3 linked regions of the Schizosaccharomyces pombe genome follow. The protein of the gene in region 2 purifies or fractionates together with the protein of the main gene of each other region. This does not show direct contact. Each region holds a gene or a part of one and is shown on either strand. Other genes may lie near its edges.

What was found.
Region 1: the proteins of ysh1 (region 2) and pfs2 purify together in Schizosaccharomyces pombe (affinity purification with mass spectrometry, with the first as the bait; one study listed by BioGRID). This does not show direct contact.
Region 3: the proteins of ysh1 (region 2) and iss1 purify together in Schizosaccharomyces pombe (affinity purification with mass spectrometry, with the first as the bait; one study listed by BioGRID). This does not show direct contact.

What each region holds. Positions count from the first base shown.
Region 1 is NC_003424.3:317,298-322,592, reverse strand, and holds pfs2 (mRNA cleavage and polyadenylation specificity factor complex, WD repeat protein Pfs2), read right to left. Parts: upstream 2,787-5,295; 5' UTR 2,620-2,786; coding exon 1,090-2,619; 3' UTR 768-1,089; downstream 1-767. Other genes in the region: TRAMP complex poly(A) polymerase subunit Cid14, read right to left, coding at 1-669; sif3 (Sad1-interacting factor 3), read left to right, coding at 3,652-4,372, 4,421-5,079, 5,124-5,162. UniProt on the Schizosaccharomyces pombe protein: Required for 3'-end cleavage and polyadenylation of pre-mRNAs. Also involved in chromosome segregation where it has a role in chromosome attachment to the mitotic spindle.
Region 2 is NC_003424.3:3,619,253-3,625,924, forward strand, and holds ysh1 (cleavage and polyadenylation specificity factor complex endoribonuclease subunit Ysh1), read right to left. Parts: upstream 4,459-6,672; 5' UTR 4,393-4,458; coding exon 4,345-4,392; intron 4,291-4,344; coding exon 4,204-4,290; intron 4,158-4,203; exon of another isoform or gene 4,155-4,157; coding exon 4,057-4,154; exon of another isoform or gene 3,924-4,056; coding exon 3,795-3,923; exon of another isoform or gene 3,754-3,794; coding exon 2,853-3,753; exon of another isoform or gene 2,809-2,852; coding exon 2,262-2,808; exon of another isoform or gene 2,219-2,261; coding exon 1,755-2,218; 3' UTR 1,509-1,754; downstream 1-1,508. Other genes in the region: sideroflexin Fsf1, read right to left, coding at 92-451, 556-891, 932-1,005, 1,119-1,228, 1,277-1,302, 1,343-1,405; pof8 (LARP7 family RNA-binding protein Pof8/Lar7), read left to right, coding at 4,617-5,825; protein Rqc1, read left to right, coding at 6,322-6,672. UniProt on the Schizosaccharomyces pombe protein: Component of the cleavage factor I (CF I) involved in pre-mRNA 3'-end processing.
Region 3 is NC_003424.3:751,142-756,443, reverse strand, and holds iss1 (fip1-like pre-mRNA polyadenylation factor), read right to left. Parts: upstream 2,774-5,302; 5' UTR 2,741-2,773; coding exon 2,603-2,740; exon of another isoform or gene 2,558-2,602; coding exon 2,505-2,557; exon of another isoform or gene 2,458-2,504; coding exon 1,614-2,457; 3' UTR 1,365-1,613; coding exon of another isoform or gene 942-1,364; 3' UTR 768-941; downstream 1-767. Other genes in the region: protein cum1, read left to right, coding at 942-1,364; nucleoporin Nup45, read left to right, coding at 3,234-3,288, 3,365-3,971, 4,015-4,101, 4,148-4,256, 4,313-4,604, 4,644-4,771; serine/threonine protein kinase Ppk8, read right to left, coding at 4,856-5,302.

The DNA of each region.
Region 1 (5,295 bases), 3.3 Mb from region 2:
TTGAGAATCAAGCTCATACGCTTGGCGTTTTCGTTTACGGTTAGAATCCGATTTTTCATTTGCTTCATGAAAAAATCGGCCTCGTTGACGCATAAAGCCAGGGATCTCATTTTTAGAAGACTTTTTTAAGGACTCATTATTCTTGCTTTTATCATTACTAACACTATCCTCGTCTTCATCGCTGTTCCAATCGAACTTGATAAAATCAGAATTATTTTCGACAGCCTTGTCGTGTACAGGGTTAGTTTTTCTACCTTCTCTTTTTGGTATACCTAAAAGAATGGTAGGTTCACCACGTTTTATTGCTTCCTCTGGTAAATCAGGTTTTTCCAGCGGCTCTAATGGATCGGCTTTTCCAAATTGAATATATGGATCGTTTTTGTTTGAAATTTCTACTCCACCTTTATCACGTATTCCTTCTGAATCATTATCATTACGTGATTTTTTACTTCCAATTTCAACCATGGGTTCTTCTTGATCCAGAAGCGTAAAATTGTTATTCAGAAGCATTTCGTCATAAGCGTCTGAATTTTTATCCTTTTCCTTTCTTTTAGATTTAAATTTACTCGGTTTATCGTTTTTAAAAATCCTCCTTGGAAGTGGTTCAGTTCTCTCATTTTTACGCTTTTTATAATTATTGCGGTTAAATGACACGCTTTTTTTACCCATCTCTAAGACATGGATAGAATGGTTTTCTATACCTATCTTGTAGAATTCTTATAAAAATCAATATATGACTAATTGAACCACAATTATTAATCACATAAGATCTTTGAAAATTTGGTGGTGAACAACTTACTAAATGTAGCATACCTAACTATTAACGATTTATTTACGAAAATCGTTGACACTCGGTAATTCAATTTGGGGAACATCTTGTATGGAGAGCGAGATATAGAAGTGCTTGTCGAGTATGAATGGTATAATGTAAATTGTTGCTTAGTTATCATTAAAAAAAAAATTAGTGTAGGTTTTGCTTTGCCAAACCCAATTTTTAGTATGAATCCAGTGAGCTGCGGTGTGAATTTTTTTTTTTTTAAATCTAATTAATGCCAAGTAAATATGTTTTTCAAATAACAAAGAAATGTATTATCGATAGTTTTGAGGATACCCATCTTGTGACTTTGAGGTGAGACCTGGGATAAAAGAGTTTTGAGTTGACGGCTCAGCGTATGAATTGCTCAAAGATGCATGAAGCATACCGGGAATTTGAGGTTGTCCATGTTGATAAGGCGATGGAAAGGAGGGCATAGTCCCTAAACCCGGAAGATTAAGTACTCCAGAAAATTGGGGATTATGGGCATTTGCTAATGTTTCGGTGAGAGGGTTTTCGTCAGGTTCATAATTATCGTCTTCTTCGATCGCTGCTTTTCTCTGACTTAGCATGGCCTCAGACTGTTCTTCACCTAAATGATGGCGATCCATGGTGGATTCCTTGTCATCTGGGCGAGATCTTGACCAAAAACGTGTAGTTTTATCATTTGAACCTGTACATAAAAGATGTCCAAGAGGATGATATTGCATACTCCAAATACCCAAATCATGAGCAAATGGAATTTCAGCAGTAGGGTATAGTAAATAAGAAGACGCGGAAAGAGTAACATTTGGATGCTTTTCATGATACTTTTGCTGAGAAAGTAATGGAGGTTCATCAAGTGAATAATGATTGACACTTCCATCGGAGCCACCAGTAGTAAGCAAATTAGGATAAAGAGGATGCCATGTTACGCAGTTTACGTCCTTTTCATGACCACGTAAAACTCGAACGTCCTTCATGGCACGTAAGTCAAATACTCGACAAGTGCTATCCCTAGAGACTGTAGCCAAATAATTTGATCCAAAATTTTTCTGAAAAGATGCTTGCATTATTGTGTTTTTATGACCATGCAAAGTCGCAATACATGTACCGGTTCTTGGATCCCAAAATTTCACTAAATTGTCTTTAGAACCAGAAGCCAAGAGACCTTTTGAAGGATGCCAATCGACGGTTTTTACATCCCATCCATGACCAGTTAGTTTCAGCTCTTCAGTACTCATATGGAAATTCCATACTTTTAATGAACCATCATCACTCGCTGTGACAAATTTGCTATCATTGGGTGAAAAGGCAACATCTCTAACTTCCATTTCATGAGCTTGAACAATTTTGACATTGTTTAAATTCGGTTCAAAATACTTTACCATGCCTCCTCCATCGCCGGAAATAAGCCAGCGCCCATCTGTACTCCATTCAGCACAACGAACGGCATAATCATGACTCTGATTAATTAACTCAAAATTAAATGTGAGACCATTCCACAGAGTAAATTCACCAGTTGAAGAACCTGTCAACAGTCTTCGACCATCTGGAGTCCAGCGCACAACGTTAATAACATGTCTAGCTTTATTTGCAGACGTATGAATATATTTGGTGCACAAGGAAGATGTGTTATTATACTTGTATTCATAAGGGGGATACAAGTTAATTATTTGATTCGGATTTGGTCTCGGTACATGTATGTGATAGCGATTGCTACGCAAATGTCGATTGACAATATACTTTGATAGCCCTGATCCATAGTCCACAGTCCTACGAGTCATAGGCTTTTGAATAATTCTAGCATTTTCAGCTCTTTCCATGATGAATTAACCAATTCCCCAAAGATGTGAAATTCCTTATTTAGCAGCAATAAAATCAATCTTTAATTTAAATAAAACCAACTTAAAGTTCCTTCTAATGTAGTATAAACTTTACCGTTTTTCGTATGGTATTCTAATATATAGATATTTGGCGCGTTTTACGTGCTGGGAAAATGAGCTAGTATGACTTTGGCCAAAGGTATGGATACGCAATCGTATCTTTTGACATGATATTTGGAACGATTGTGCTTGTAAAATACATTGAAAAAAATTTTATTAATTTAGTTCAAAGACTTCTTTTATTTAGTATAAGTAAATCGGTGGGATGTTGAAGATGATATTAATTTCGTTCCAAATTAGGCACGCCAAATAAATTAATCCACCTAGATCAAGTGTTCATAGTAAACATACAGTAATGATATCTTTGATCATCTATCCATGCTTGATTAGACAGTTAAAGAATAGTACGTTTAATTTATACAATGTAATAACATTAAATGAAACTAATGTCTAAATAATATCCATTTGTTGTTTTTAGATGAATTTTGCTTATTTAACATTTGATTAACGTTCCACATAAGGTTTCTCAAATTGCTTAATATTTTATTTGTAGTCGTACTTTAATGGCAGTATCCAACCTACATGTGCTCGTTTTATTCATTTGAAATTTATTTTTTAACAAAAACTGAGTAAAAATTCAGGAAATTGAACTGCTTAGTCGTATTATTGACACTGCATATTTTACATAGAAATCTTTATTGTCTAAAGACACCAATTTGTGTCTCTCTTTTAATATTGGTTAGTAATTAATACCCTACTTTATTCACTTGCTCTCTGATAATTTGAAATAAGCTCCATAGTTAATCAAGTTTACTTTCCTCATACACTACTAAGCACAACCATTTTATCTTTCAAAATAATTGTAATTTTACTTAGTTGCATATAATACTTGATTAAAGTATTATACTGCGTATCAGAGACATAGACTTATATTGGCATGACCAGTAAACCAACGCTCGAAGTACACATTCGATGTCTACTAAGGATAAACTAAATTTACCCCCTAAACGGACAATTAATACTCGATTATCAACTCCTGTGCATATTCCTCCCCCAATAAATTCAGAAAGTACACGAATAACGCCTCAGCATGGTAGCCCACCACGTTTTGGAGATCATCGAATATCTGCAGCTCAAGGCCTTTTTCAAAGACGGCGGAATGCTAGGAAAATCGATCATCCATTAGGATGGTTCTTAAAAAACCGACATGCTGCTGCTCATATTCCTCAAAGAACTACTAAAACATCTCAGAAACTTGTACTACTACCCGAGAACCATGCTGTCAATTCATTTAACGAAGAAGAAAGCAACTATGAGGACTTGCTTACTCCTAGCGATGCCTATAATTTAATCAAATTAGAAAACTTACCTCGTGACAAACGTGAAGAGTTAGGATTTCCTCGTGCTACAGCATATTGTGTCTGTGAAGCTTTCCAGTTGCCTAAGGTTAAACATTTTTTAAAACATTATCACAAAGTCCGCGCAAAGAAATATGATGAGGTTCTATACGCTGTATATCATTTACCTTTAGTGTATGGCAGGTCTGAATCTTGCCGAGTTTCTAGTGGCCCAGCACCGGACGATATGCCCTCTAGTGCGTCTAATCACAATCAAAAGCATTTGGACTCTGACAAACCGGATAACGAAAATTTTGATTCTCATATAATATCTCAATTGTATCGAATATCTGAAAGTAAGTTAATCCTAACTGTTTAGCTAATTTCCTATTAACGCCATTTAGTTTTCGTCTTCTCTTATGGTGTCGTGGTTTTTTGGAATTTTTCTTTGAGTCAAGAAAAGGATATTCTTGCCGATTTAACTTTTGGTGGTGATAATTCTTTAATGGTTAAGCCTTTAGCAGAAGAGGAATGTGAAATTGAAGATTTACATTTTCATTACGCGCCGAATACAAAAAGGCCGAGGATATATAATGATATGATTCATATCCCGTCAGCGGACAACAAAATGAAGCTGGCAATGTCTCATGCTTTGGCTCAATCCGTCAAACTTTCTAGGTTTGAGTTACGAACAGACGTCACAATGAACTCTGCATTATTCTATCCAAAAAAGCTTGCTTTATACGGTCATTTAGGTCTTTCAAGGGTAGAGGTTGTTCGCATGAGCGGTCATTTGTTTCAGTTACGAGTGGATGTCAACCTTATTAGTAACATATTAGACACTCCAGACTTTTTATGGGACTCTGAACCCTTACTTCTACCTTTATATACTGCATTTCGCGAATACTTGGAAATTGGACCCCGTACAAATGTTCTCAATAGACGCTGTAAAGTCATTTTTGATATGCTTGATATATTTGGTAAATCCAGCGCGGATAGGAAGATGAACTCTATTACCTGGATAATAATTATCTTGATATCTTTGTTTGTAATCATATTTACTGTAAGTTTTAATTGGTCGTTTTATTCATTGACTAACATAAGCAGCTTGAAGTCATATTGCGACTCAGATGGGCTCATAGGTAATTGTGTGTTGTTGGTTTATGTTGATGGACTATGGTCTGTAAAAACCAATGGTTTTCGACAATTATCATTATTTATTCTTTCTTTTTCGCCTCAAAATATTTCCCCTTTTATCAATTTATAATTTCGTTGCTGT
Region 2 (6,672 bases):
CCAATACCAAAAATAAATTTCTAAAGGGAGAGTGTCTATTTTCAAAGACAGGGATGGATATAAACAAACGAATAACTATTACAAAAAATTCCTACAATCCACGGTTGAATTCAACCTCCACGATGGGCTGGTCAGACTTATCCTTCAAATGGTGAAATTGGGGCTCTAGCTTAAACGGGGAAATTTTTTCTCTTGCAGGGAAGACGCCAATTGCCAAAGGAAGGGCTATTAAGGAAGTCAGAGTGATAAGTCCGAGATTGACAGGGATGGTCAACTTAGGGCGAGTACGAAGCCAGTTCTGCTTTTGTAGTCTCATTAAGACTAAAGGAGGGATAACCATAATTGGTGAAGCGTTGATTACACGGGAAAGAGCAGTCTCTCCAACAGCATAAAACGCCGCCTTTTTGCTTTTTCCTAAAGATTCTCCCTCTTTATCGAAAACGTCGATACCCTATACAAACATTAGTAAAGAATGAAAAAACACAAAACCAATGTATGAAACTTCAATACATAGGTTTGTACCCAGAATAAATAAACTTAGGCTAAAACTCATACCTGACGAAGTTCTTCGCCGCGCATCAAAAAGACATTTAAAACACCAGCTGAAGCAACAGCAGCAAAAGGGGTCAATCTTCCGAGTACCGCTTTGGACGAAGAAGAAAGAAAGTTCATACGAGGCACAATTTTGTTGAGACCAATAGCAACACCACAACTTGCACTAACAGCATAAATATAGGATTTAGTCATCTGCGGAAGAGTCAATTGCGTAGATTTATTTGCATTTGCAGAATTAAAAGCTACATTTACAGATTGATTCATCCACTGCCAAAAAACGGTTCCAGCGGTACCAAGGTTTGGTTGCAGCATACCTGCTGTGACGACCAAATTAGTCTAATGATTAGCATTTAGTCACTAAATAGTATTATCTTACCAAGACAAAGCATGACATTCGGAATGGTAAGAAAACAGGTTCCTTAGTATCGGGATGCAAAGTTGAATCAACAACTAAAATCGTTAATATGTTTTTTTTTTTAATTTGAAAATATATTTAATAACAAAAAAAATAACTAATCAAATAATATAACATTTGATCGGATTTGTATCGTATAACTACATACTTTTCTTTGCATGCCAAACCGTTTCATCTAATTGTGCAATTTTACCCGCTCCATAGTCTTCCAGAGTTTTGACGGCGCTATTTAAATCTTGAGATGTAGAGAGAAGTGTCCTACAGATGTTAGGTGCTCAAACGATCATGTAGTTAAATTATAATTACCTTGGATCAGTAATATCCATAGCGTGCTGCCGCATTAGCATAAATACAAAGAGTAATATAACATACACGAACACGTCCCCAATAGGTGGACAAGTCATACTTAGAGGTGGGCAGCTTATTGCTGGACATTGTGGTGTTGGTGTTGGTAGTCGGTACAAAAATTTGCTTAATTAACCCGATTGGTAGTGTCTTTGGAGTTCATAATAGCTACAAAAAAAGTTTTCCTTACAAAAATCTAAATAGTTATAGCATTTTTTTAAGTACTAGTCAATTTTTTTGGAATGGCTATTAAATTGTTTGTCTTTGACGTAAATGGCAAGAATAAATTAAAGATTCGATCACGCATGACTAAGAAACAGCATTTTTTAACAGAAATACCAGAGTGCATGATAACTACTGAGACTTAAATAGCAAAAAATGAAGGTAGCCATAAAAGTGTCATGGCTATGAAAGGCAAAGATTCGTTCGTAAATAATTTTCAAGAAAGTTCTTCTTTCTTAAGGTTGGGCTGTTCATTCTTTTCTTCGCTTTTCTGTTCTTCAACTGGTTCTGTCTTATTTTCATTTTTAACATCATCTTCTATTTTCGTTTGCTGCTCAAAGATTTTATCATCGTCAGATTCTTCATTTTCAAAATCATCTTCGGAGACGTCGTTTTGTGAAGCTTCAGAAAATGGAAGGATAGTATTGATCGCACGGGATAAAACATGTACGACTCTAGATCGTAACGCTTCATTTGAACATTCAACTTTCATAGTCGAAAAATCAATAGACGCTTCATATTTTTCAAATTTGATTTCAACCCCCTTTTCCGTTTTAGTCATACTTTCGCCAAATTGGTTGTCCAAAAACATCATCAGCTTTTTAATACGATCTTCCTCCTTTGATACTTTTGGAGGCTTATCTAAATGCGAATGCAAATGGTTACATTTATGGCTCGTCACTATTAATGGTTAGAAATTGTTCCACATTAAACGCAGACTTACACTTGACAGAAGCAGGACTGCTTTCAATGCCTAGTAGAATAGTAATTACTGAATCAGCTATTGTATCATTCATAATGTTGCCAACCCATTCAAGAGCAAGCTTATGTTCTTGGATTAAAGTCAAAGTAATGGCGTCCATTACTGTATATTGAGGTTGTCCTGCCTTTGTTTTTGACTGTTTGACATATCCAAACATTTGTTTTAAATGGAAATTTGCAAGCTCCATACTCGAAAAAAATGGAATGACTTGTTTTTGGGTTAAAACGGTGGTAGTAAGGTCACTGAAATCTCGAAGATCTTCAGCTGACATCAATTTATAATTGGCATCCTTTTGAATTAAAATTCCACTCATAATGTCGCCTTCTTTTGGTTTATGAACAGCGACCTTTCCCAAAGCTCTCACTAACCGTTCCCCTTTGAAAGGAAGATATAACGGTACGCAATTTCGAGGGGTATATACTTTGACATCGACTTTTCTATTGTGAAATTTGCTGGCTAGAGCACTTTTTAATCGACCCATATTTGTTTGCTCACCATGCACCAAAATCTATAATTAGTTAATTTTAACGTTACATTAGTAACTAAACATACAATGTGATCGGCATTTACCAGGTCAATGAATTCACTGTTTTGAAGATAATCAACATGAGCCGCAAAAGAAAGTTCCTCCACTGCCATTCTTCTAGGAATCTTTTGGCCTGAAAGTGACACAATTTCAATAGGCTCATTTGTAATTTGCTTTGCCATTGTCCCTTCAACAGAATAACCAGTAAGAAGTAACGTATTTCGAGGGTCAGGAGCCCATCTTTCTAAGAGGGTTCTTGAAACACCATTTTGTAGCATACCAGGACTTGCCAATATTACAGAAGGGCCAATATCATCGAATTTTTCTAAATTTCTTAGACTTTTGACAAAACGAAAGATGAACGGATTTCGTTCGGCAAAAATTTTTCGAATATTATCATTCATCATGTTAACATAAGTTTGAAAAATGGCCATACACTTTCTCGCTAGCGATGATGCATAATAGATAGGGACTGAGCGAAGATCGAGATGATTATTCCAATATTCATCGAGAATGAGTAATAACTCCTGAGCTCTTCCAAGAGCAAAGACAGGCATCAAAACTCTCCCTCCATTGCGAATAGTGGAATGAATAATATTTAACAGTCTAGCCTCCTTCTCCAGTCTTGGTTGGTGAGATGCTGTACCATACGTGGATTCTGTGATCAGCACATCTGGTCTTTTAGGAGGAACCTCAGCGACATGCAAATGGCGATCTTCTTCTCGTGAGTAGTCGCCTGTAAATAAAATATTGACTCCAGCCATTTCCACAAAATACATACAGGCACCCAAAACATGGCCCGCATGATAGGGTGTAAACTTTATACCCTCAACTTCTATAGTTGAATGGTAGTCAACAGCCTCGATTCTATCAAAAGCGGCTAACAAATCTTTCTCATCGTAAAGCTGATCTTCCATGCCTACATTACTGCGAGTTGTTAATGAATACTCAGAGCTAAGAATACATACCTCACTTTCACGTAGTCAGATAAAAGCCACTTGCAAACTGCCTTTGTAGGATGAGTCATGAAGACACGACCTCTAAAGTTCGTCTTTTGCATAACATAGGGAAGCGAGGCTACATGATCCAAATGGAAGCTTGCTTAAGTTAGAAATACTTTTCAAAAAAAAATGAATCAATGCCTAAGGGACCATAATAGTAATTGGTACAAGAAGTACTCTAATCTAATAACCTATGGTCGTCTCAAGTAGTGGTACAAAAGGGACTTACTGGCTAATTAAAAGTACATCTACAGTGCTCAAATCAAACTCATCAAAAAAAGGAAGAGCTGAAAGCCCAGTATACGCAGGGTGAACACCGGCATCGAGCTAGCAAAAATTAGCATTCACAATCATAACAAAATAAAAATTAAAATACCATTACTGTTTTCCCTTTGTATTGAATAACATGGCAACTGCGACCAACTTCATTTCCGGCTCCCAAGTTAATAAACTCCAGTAAATCCTGACATTGGTTAGAAAGTAGGCCCTTATAAAAAATCGTAAATTCAAGGCTTACGGATGGGTCTACAGGTGCATCTTCATCAAATTCCTTTCTTTTGGACATCTTTCCAAGGGCTTTTGTCTAAAAACCACAATTGGAAAGACAAGGTCGTGGGTGCTGGGCAAGCGCGAGTTATTCTTCACCTACGCATTCAACATAAATTGGGAGAAAGCAGAACAAAAATTTACAACCCTTTTTTTTTTAATTAAGAGCACCTAATTCTATTTATTATTAATGACTTCACTTTAATTGATACTAGAAAACCGTACTTTAAGGAGCGAAGTAAAATGTTTGTGCCAAGGCAACTGAATGTTCGCAAAATTAAAGCATTTACAGGGAAGGAAAATAATTCTATTGCAGATGGAAATAACAACAAATTGAAAGATGAGCATTACAAACATAATGAAGCCAGCAAAGAACCAAGTCATTCCATAAGCGGAGGACTCATGTTAAATCAACAAGATAGACAGCTTATTGAACCGTTAAATCCTGACTTTTTATCAGCCGTTGATTCTATATTAGAAATTTATTTTCACCGAGAAAGGCAAAAAGAAAAAGTGCACTTGGCCTTTTTAATCCAGCAAGATGATTTCTGGAAAGGAATCCGCCCGAATCCAACGCAAAATAACTTGAAGTATGCTTTATCTTATGTTACTAATGCGCTGTTTCATTTCGATAATTCCTCACACATGGTTATTAGAAATGAGAATATTGTTCTTCCTCTTGACATACCACTGTATGATAGAATTATTTACGTTGAACCAGTTCCGGCTACTCTGTCTAATAAAAGTTTACTTTTGGCTGGGAAACTTCGCAAATACCTCAAAGAGTTCCTTCCCTATGTTGATGCTATCGGTACTCCTGAAGGTTATGCTTTTGTAATTTTGTACAAAAAGGTTGATCAATCAGCACTTAGCAAGTTGCCTGTCCCTCCTGGATGGGTACTGTTGACTCGTAAAGAATGGACAAATCGTGAAGAAAAATATTTTGAAAATCAACTCCATTTAGTAAAAGCGTCATCTTCAGACGTTTCAAATTCATCCAATTCCTTTCCTGAAAATCGTTATCCCAAACTTACTAAAGTAGAAAAACAAATGACCAAGTCTGTATCCAAAACCTCACAAACTGATAAAGATGAAGATAATTTGGATTTTACCAAGAATCTTTTGACCCGTATCAAGAACCTCCATCCTTTAACTAATAAATCTACTATTCACAGCCTCTTGAGTTATGTTTTTTCGCGGCAAACTCAGAATATTGCATGTGAGCCCATGTATATAGACTATAGGAAGGACGAAACAGAGGCGATAATACGTTGGAAAACACCGCTTCATGCTGAGACGTGTATCAACGCGTTTCGTACACAAGAAAGGAAACAAAACAGTCATGATGATATTCGGGCACATAGGAAAAAGGGATCTAGCCGTCCATTCCTGATTGCTGAGCTAATTACCGGAGAAGAAGAAAAGAATTATTGGCGTATGTTAAAAAAGTAATATGTTTTCCTTTCTCTGGTAATACTAATTTGATTTATTTACTACTTTATAATATATTCTGGTAATATAGGCATACAAAAAGGTAACACGGTCGTTATTCTCACTTTAATACTAAATTTGCATTAACAGTTTTTTGTATTAATAACCCCTCTAATTTTCATTTGGCTGATAACCTATTGCGATCAGCAAAAATTCCAATAAACCATGAACCACAAATATGTAAAAACGGTTTACCACCCCACAATTGCAAAATTCTATTACTTAGATTTTAATTACATATTCTGTACATCATTGTTGCTCCCGGCTTGTATTTTCCTTAACGCCTTTTAACTACGAAACGTAATATTCTTCACTGCTAACAGTCTTAAAATGAAATATTTTCTGTATGTTATATATTAATTTAGCATACCGAAAAGTTCTTGAAATTGAGGTGTGTTTTCATAGGTCTGAGTTAAATTCTTACATCTGCCATTCTAGTCTACCACAAACCATTCTCATGTCTTCACGAGCTTTACGGAAACTTCAGCGTCAAAGACAAACCGAGCTATTGGAAGAAGCTTTAGACAGTGAATCTGATGAGGATGACGAGTTTTCTTCAACTTCCGGGAAAAAAGTAGTAAACGTGTTCGAAATTCTCGAAAAAGAAAATAATGCTATTAACTCAGAGGCAGAAAAAAGTGTTTCTGAGGAAGAGCAGGATGAACCATTAGTAGAAGGCGAGTCTCCAATTGTCTCTACAAATAAGAAAGCAAAAAATAAAAAGAAAAAGAAAAAGCAGCAGAAGAAGAAGAAAGTCACTGGAAAGCGTGATTTAGATAATCAATCTTCTGATAATGAGAAATTGGAG
Region 3 (5,302 bases), 2.9 Mb from region 2:
GTAACTCAACTACAGTTGTTTAAGCCCAAAGATTAACACATTTGACATTAGAGAAAGTGTTTCAATTGCGTAGGTATAATTGATGAACTTATATTTCTGTCTTTTTGAAATCTACAGATACTTAAAATAGTAATTTCATATATAACTGTAAACTGCTAAACTAGTTTTCTTCTCGCCGATTAAATGTGTCGAGGCTGCTTATTCCATCTAATTAACATCTTACCATACACTCGATTTGAAAGGGTTCCTTTTATTATTGTTTATTCAGATGAAAATGGTTCATTCAGTTGATTATTTTATTGCTTTTGCTTCATTGCAACCACTTATAGCGGATTGCTTCGCATATCTATACCGCTCCTTACATGTGTTGTGATAGAGAGGTAAAGAATTTCAGACATCAATTGAAGCAACAAATTCCAATTTTAATACTTACATGATTTTGGCTTCAACTAGCTCGGGATGATATCCCATATTTTATGCCCGACACCGTTTGTCATCCGCTTAGTCGTGATACCCGTCTGCCACATAGCGAATGTCAAAGGATTATGCTACTTTACGTGAGAATGAAATATAGACTTTACACATCGCCACATGATGGCATCGATAGAGCTGCTAGTTTCAATTACTTTCAATTAACGAGTGAAAAGCGGATGTACCGCATCATCTGTTGAGCGAAATAGTCTACGTAAAATCAAATGGGCTAATTTGTCGCTGAATTAACCCAAAAGCAAAAATACGATTGCAATTCTCATTACGAAATGCTGAATGGGATGGAAAATAAATTGATGTCACAATTTCCGAGGACTCTTACAAATATTATATATAGAGCACGGGGTACATCACTATCGATTCGAATTTTCAAGAAGTAATATTTCGCACCGTAGTACTTTTTGTAAGCCGTTTTATTAAATCAGAAAGAACTCCAATTTTATTTATAAACAATGCCTGATCCTAATCGTGTTCTCGCTGGCAAGAAAGCCACCCTACACAATCCCAATGTATCACAACAAGCCAAAGAAAGAGCCGAAGACTATATAGAAAGTCATTCTTCCGGCCAAGAGACTGGTGATTATTCCGCTCAAGCTGGAGGCCGTGATCTTGATTATGAGGATCTCGGTGATTATGATGAGGATGCAGACTTTGACAACGAGGAGGGTCTAAATGTGTTGGGAGATGAGTCGGGTTTTGTTGATGATCCTATGAAAACAGGTGATTTGGTCGAAGAAGATCAACTTGAGGGCAAGAACATTGAAAATGTCCGAGGAGGTTATAAAGCTACTATGCATAATCCTAATGTATCCAAGCAAGCCAAAACCCGCGCCCAAAGAGCCCTTGAAGAAATTGATGATGAAACCCAAGCTTAATTGCTGCCCAGTTGATTACCCGTCATTGCTTTGATGTGTCTGAAGTATCTTCAGTTTTGATTTTATGTTGTTAATACAGAATTCCATAGTAATGATGAGTATACATGTTTATGATCTTATGAATATTATTTCATTCACCAGCTTTTAACTTTTGAAACCGTTGTCCTTGTAGAAGTAGTCGACACCCCATAGCATACAATTAAAACGATTCTCCTAAGATTTGCATACACAAACGTTATTGTATTTATCTTAATATCTGTTGCGTCGATATCGGCCGCCAGAACCTCTAGAGGAGTAGTTGGAGTATCTGTCCGGAGATGGTTTTCGCCTTGATGAGGAAGGATAGTTGCTACTGTGAGGATGGTTACTAGGAGGTCTTGAGGCATTATAGTTCGTAGAGGCTCCATTCCCATAACTCGATGTAGGATTATGAGTAGGTTGTGCATGCGTCATACCAGCACTCGATGTAATATTAGGGGAATTCGCTGGACTTTCACTTTCACGTCTAGAAGATGAAGGATTGTTATTTACATACGCATTAGGTGTAGCTGCACCTGAATGAACACCACCACCAGATGTATGTGTAGTATTATAGTTTGAAGATGCATGGACTGGAAAATTGCGCGAGTACCCCATATCCTCTTGTGGGCCTCCAATAGGCGGAGGAATAGGCATAAATGGAGGAAATCCAGAAGCCATCATAGCTTGAAACTCGGCAGGTGATGGTACGTTGCCAGAAGGTAAAGGACCCGGGATCTGAGCAAGACTTGCCATAAATTTTTGGGGGCTAAAGTCGTCACGCAAAGTCGTTTGTTTGGCACAGTAAGCAGCCCATGTAAATTCATCAAATCCATAGTTAAAATAATCTGAGATATCTGCACCAGGCTTGCGCCATGGTTTATCATCAAAAGACTCCAAATCAATCTCAAAAATGTTTTTACCATCAATTGTAGGAACAGCGTCAATGTCAACTTTAGGTGCAGTTTCTGCTGTCGATAAATCTTGGGGTTCTGTAGTTTTTACTTCGACAGCAGTTTTCTCTACTTGAGGTTTAGCAGAAGGTCGGGTTGAACCTAATGTTGCAATCGATCCACTAACATTATTAGTATAATCTGAAATCAATTATTTTGGTTTACATACCCTAATGGTTCTGCTCTTTCACCTGGCTTTGTTTCAATGATAAATTCAATATCCTACAAAATTAGCAGTTAGCAGTATCATTTTAATTGAAATCTTACTGAATCATCGCTTTCTTCACTTGCTTGCTCTGGTGACTTGGCATTTGACACTGTAACTCCATCATTCCGTTCCTCTATGGTTTCTCCATATAAATATTCATCCTCATCAACATCCATGTGCTGATCAGCATTTGACATAGTAAAAACCCACTTCTAAAATGTATATGGGGCAAGTCCATTCATTGACTGAGTCTCGCACCTGAAATTATGGATTCCTTCTTCTTTACCACTTAGGGCCATTAGTCCACTAAACATTGTACCGAGTTGTACGGTATATACTAGTGGACTTCATAGCGTACTTCATTTACCTGGGTAAAAATATTTTGCGCTAAAACGGGTTGAAACAGACCAACACTCGTGAAAGCCAACTTAGTGAGCCACATTGTAGTTAACACTAACAATTGAATTTGCTCTGCGAACACAGCAGTATTTGACTATACGATACCCTGAAAGCTAGTTCAATTTGAAACTTTAGATAACTAATCTTTTCCATCTTTGCTTAATTATAATATTAATCATTGATTGTGATTCTACAATTACCCTTTTTAGAAAAGATAACCTGAGTGGTTTTTCATGATAATCTTTGCATGGTATTTACACTAGGGACATTCGTGTATTAATACTTTAAGCAATGTTCGGGTTAAATAAAACACCCTCATTTGGGTCCACAGGAACCCAAAACCAAAGTATGTTTCTTTAGGTGAACAAGTCTTCAAGTTTACTTTTCGAATTTTGTGCTTATTCATATATTAACCTTTTCAGATACTGGTACTTCTGCAGGCACAGGACTTTTTTCTTCTAATACTTTTGGTAACAATACGCAGGCCAATACGCCCGCTTCGACTGGGTTTGGAGGCGTAACAGGAGGAGCTTTTGGTCAAACAAAACCTCAAACTGGTGGAAGCTTGTTTGGAAATAAGCCAAACGCTACATCTACTACCCCCGGCCTAAATTTGTTTGGACAAAACCCTCAAGCGGCACCTGGTGGCAGCCTGTTTGGAGCTTCCACTACTAAACCTCAAGCACCTGGTGGTTTGTTCAATCAGAATCAAACACAAGCACAACCTGCTCAAGCAGCCCCTACTGGAGGATTATTTGGATTATCTGGTCAAAATCAAACACAATCGCAAACACAGCCTGCTCAAGCAAATACTTCTCTTTTCGGACAGTCTAACATCGGAACTACAGGAGGTCTATTTGATCAAAACCGCCCTAATACTTCGACTTTTGGTCAATTTTCTACACAACCAGCTTCCGCTGGCCTTTTTGGTCAATCCACACAACCGTCTGGTTCAACTGGTTTTGGTTTAAGCAATAATACTCAAACTACTCCATTCTTTTCTGCAGCTCAGCAGCAACCGTCAACAACGTAAGTTAATTATTAAATTTTTTTTTCATTAACAAAAAAACAGGCAACTCCCTTCTAATCCAGCTATTAATGCAACGACGAGATACTCGAGCTTAAACGCTAATACTCAAAAATTTTTAGATGACTTAGAGTATGTGTTACCTTATGTACAAAATTTGTTCTAATCATGTCCGTAGCAAAGAAATTTTTAGCCAAATCCAACTTGCAGAGGAACTACAAACTAAGTTGGGGACTGTTTCCGAATTGGTTGAATCCGTCCCTAATGATGTCGCTGAAGTACAGAGAGTGAGTTATTTCCTTCTATTATCTCCAAGTTTTATTTGTTTCTAACTAAAATAAAGCGTTTATCTTCTGTCTCGACTGCACTTTTAATTGATTCCGACGAAATTGAAACTACGAAGCGTGTAGTTGACGAAGATACTTCGAATGCTCGCATTAGTTCACGTATTTTGGACGTTTTTAAAACACCTGGCGCAACCTATCCCTTCGCGTCAAACGATCCCCTAATGAACTACTTTGAGCAATTTACAGAAAACGCTAAGAAACGTACAGATCTGTATGCTGCCACTATTGGTGAACTTGAACAACATTTGGAGCAAGTTGAGACTACGCCACAGAATAATAGTCCCGAGGGTATGCCTTTAATTTGTAAAACTTGTATTAACTATCTAGCATTACTGAAAACTATCAAAGAGGAGCACAAATTATTCATGGCTCTTAGTAATAGATTTGCTCAAGTTCACGATGAAGTAAAGCGTCTACAAGTGAACACTTCAACGTCCTTGCCCTTTATAAGTTAATAGCGATCATTAAAGGGACTTCATAATCCTTAACATCATAAAAAAAATAAATAGATAAAAATCTCTAAAGTAGACAAATTCTCCTTAGATTAGAGTTTTCCGAACTTGTTGCATCCATGTAGTGCTTCGTGCTCCCGAAATGCTACATCTTGTATTAAAATCAATGTCCAGCATATGATAAATCGTATCTCTTGAGTTCATCGGTAAAGATTCTATCAATTGGCTTTTCGTGTTAGGGTCATTTCGTTGAGTAACGTATAAATTAAAACGTTTATCCGATGTATGCGGCACTTTCCATGGAAATCTCTTTAAAGCAATACAACAGTAAACAATTGCACAAGACCAAACATCTACAGCGCTCGGATCATATGGTTTCTGAGTAAGAACTTCGGGAGCAACATATGGTTTTGAACCGACTACACCATCAGACATCAGAGTGGTTGATTCAAATGGATAATGAAAAACAAAAGCAGTACCAAAATCAATAATCTTAACATTTAAATTTTCATCGAGCATAATATTATCTAATTT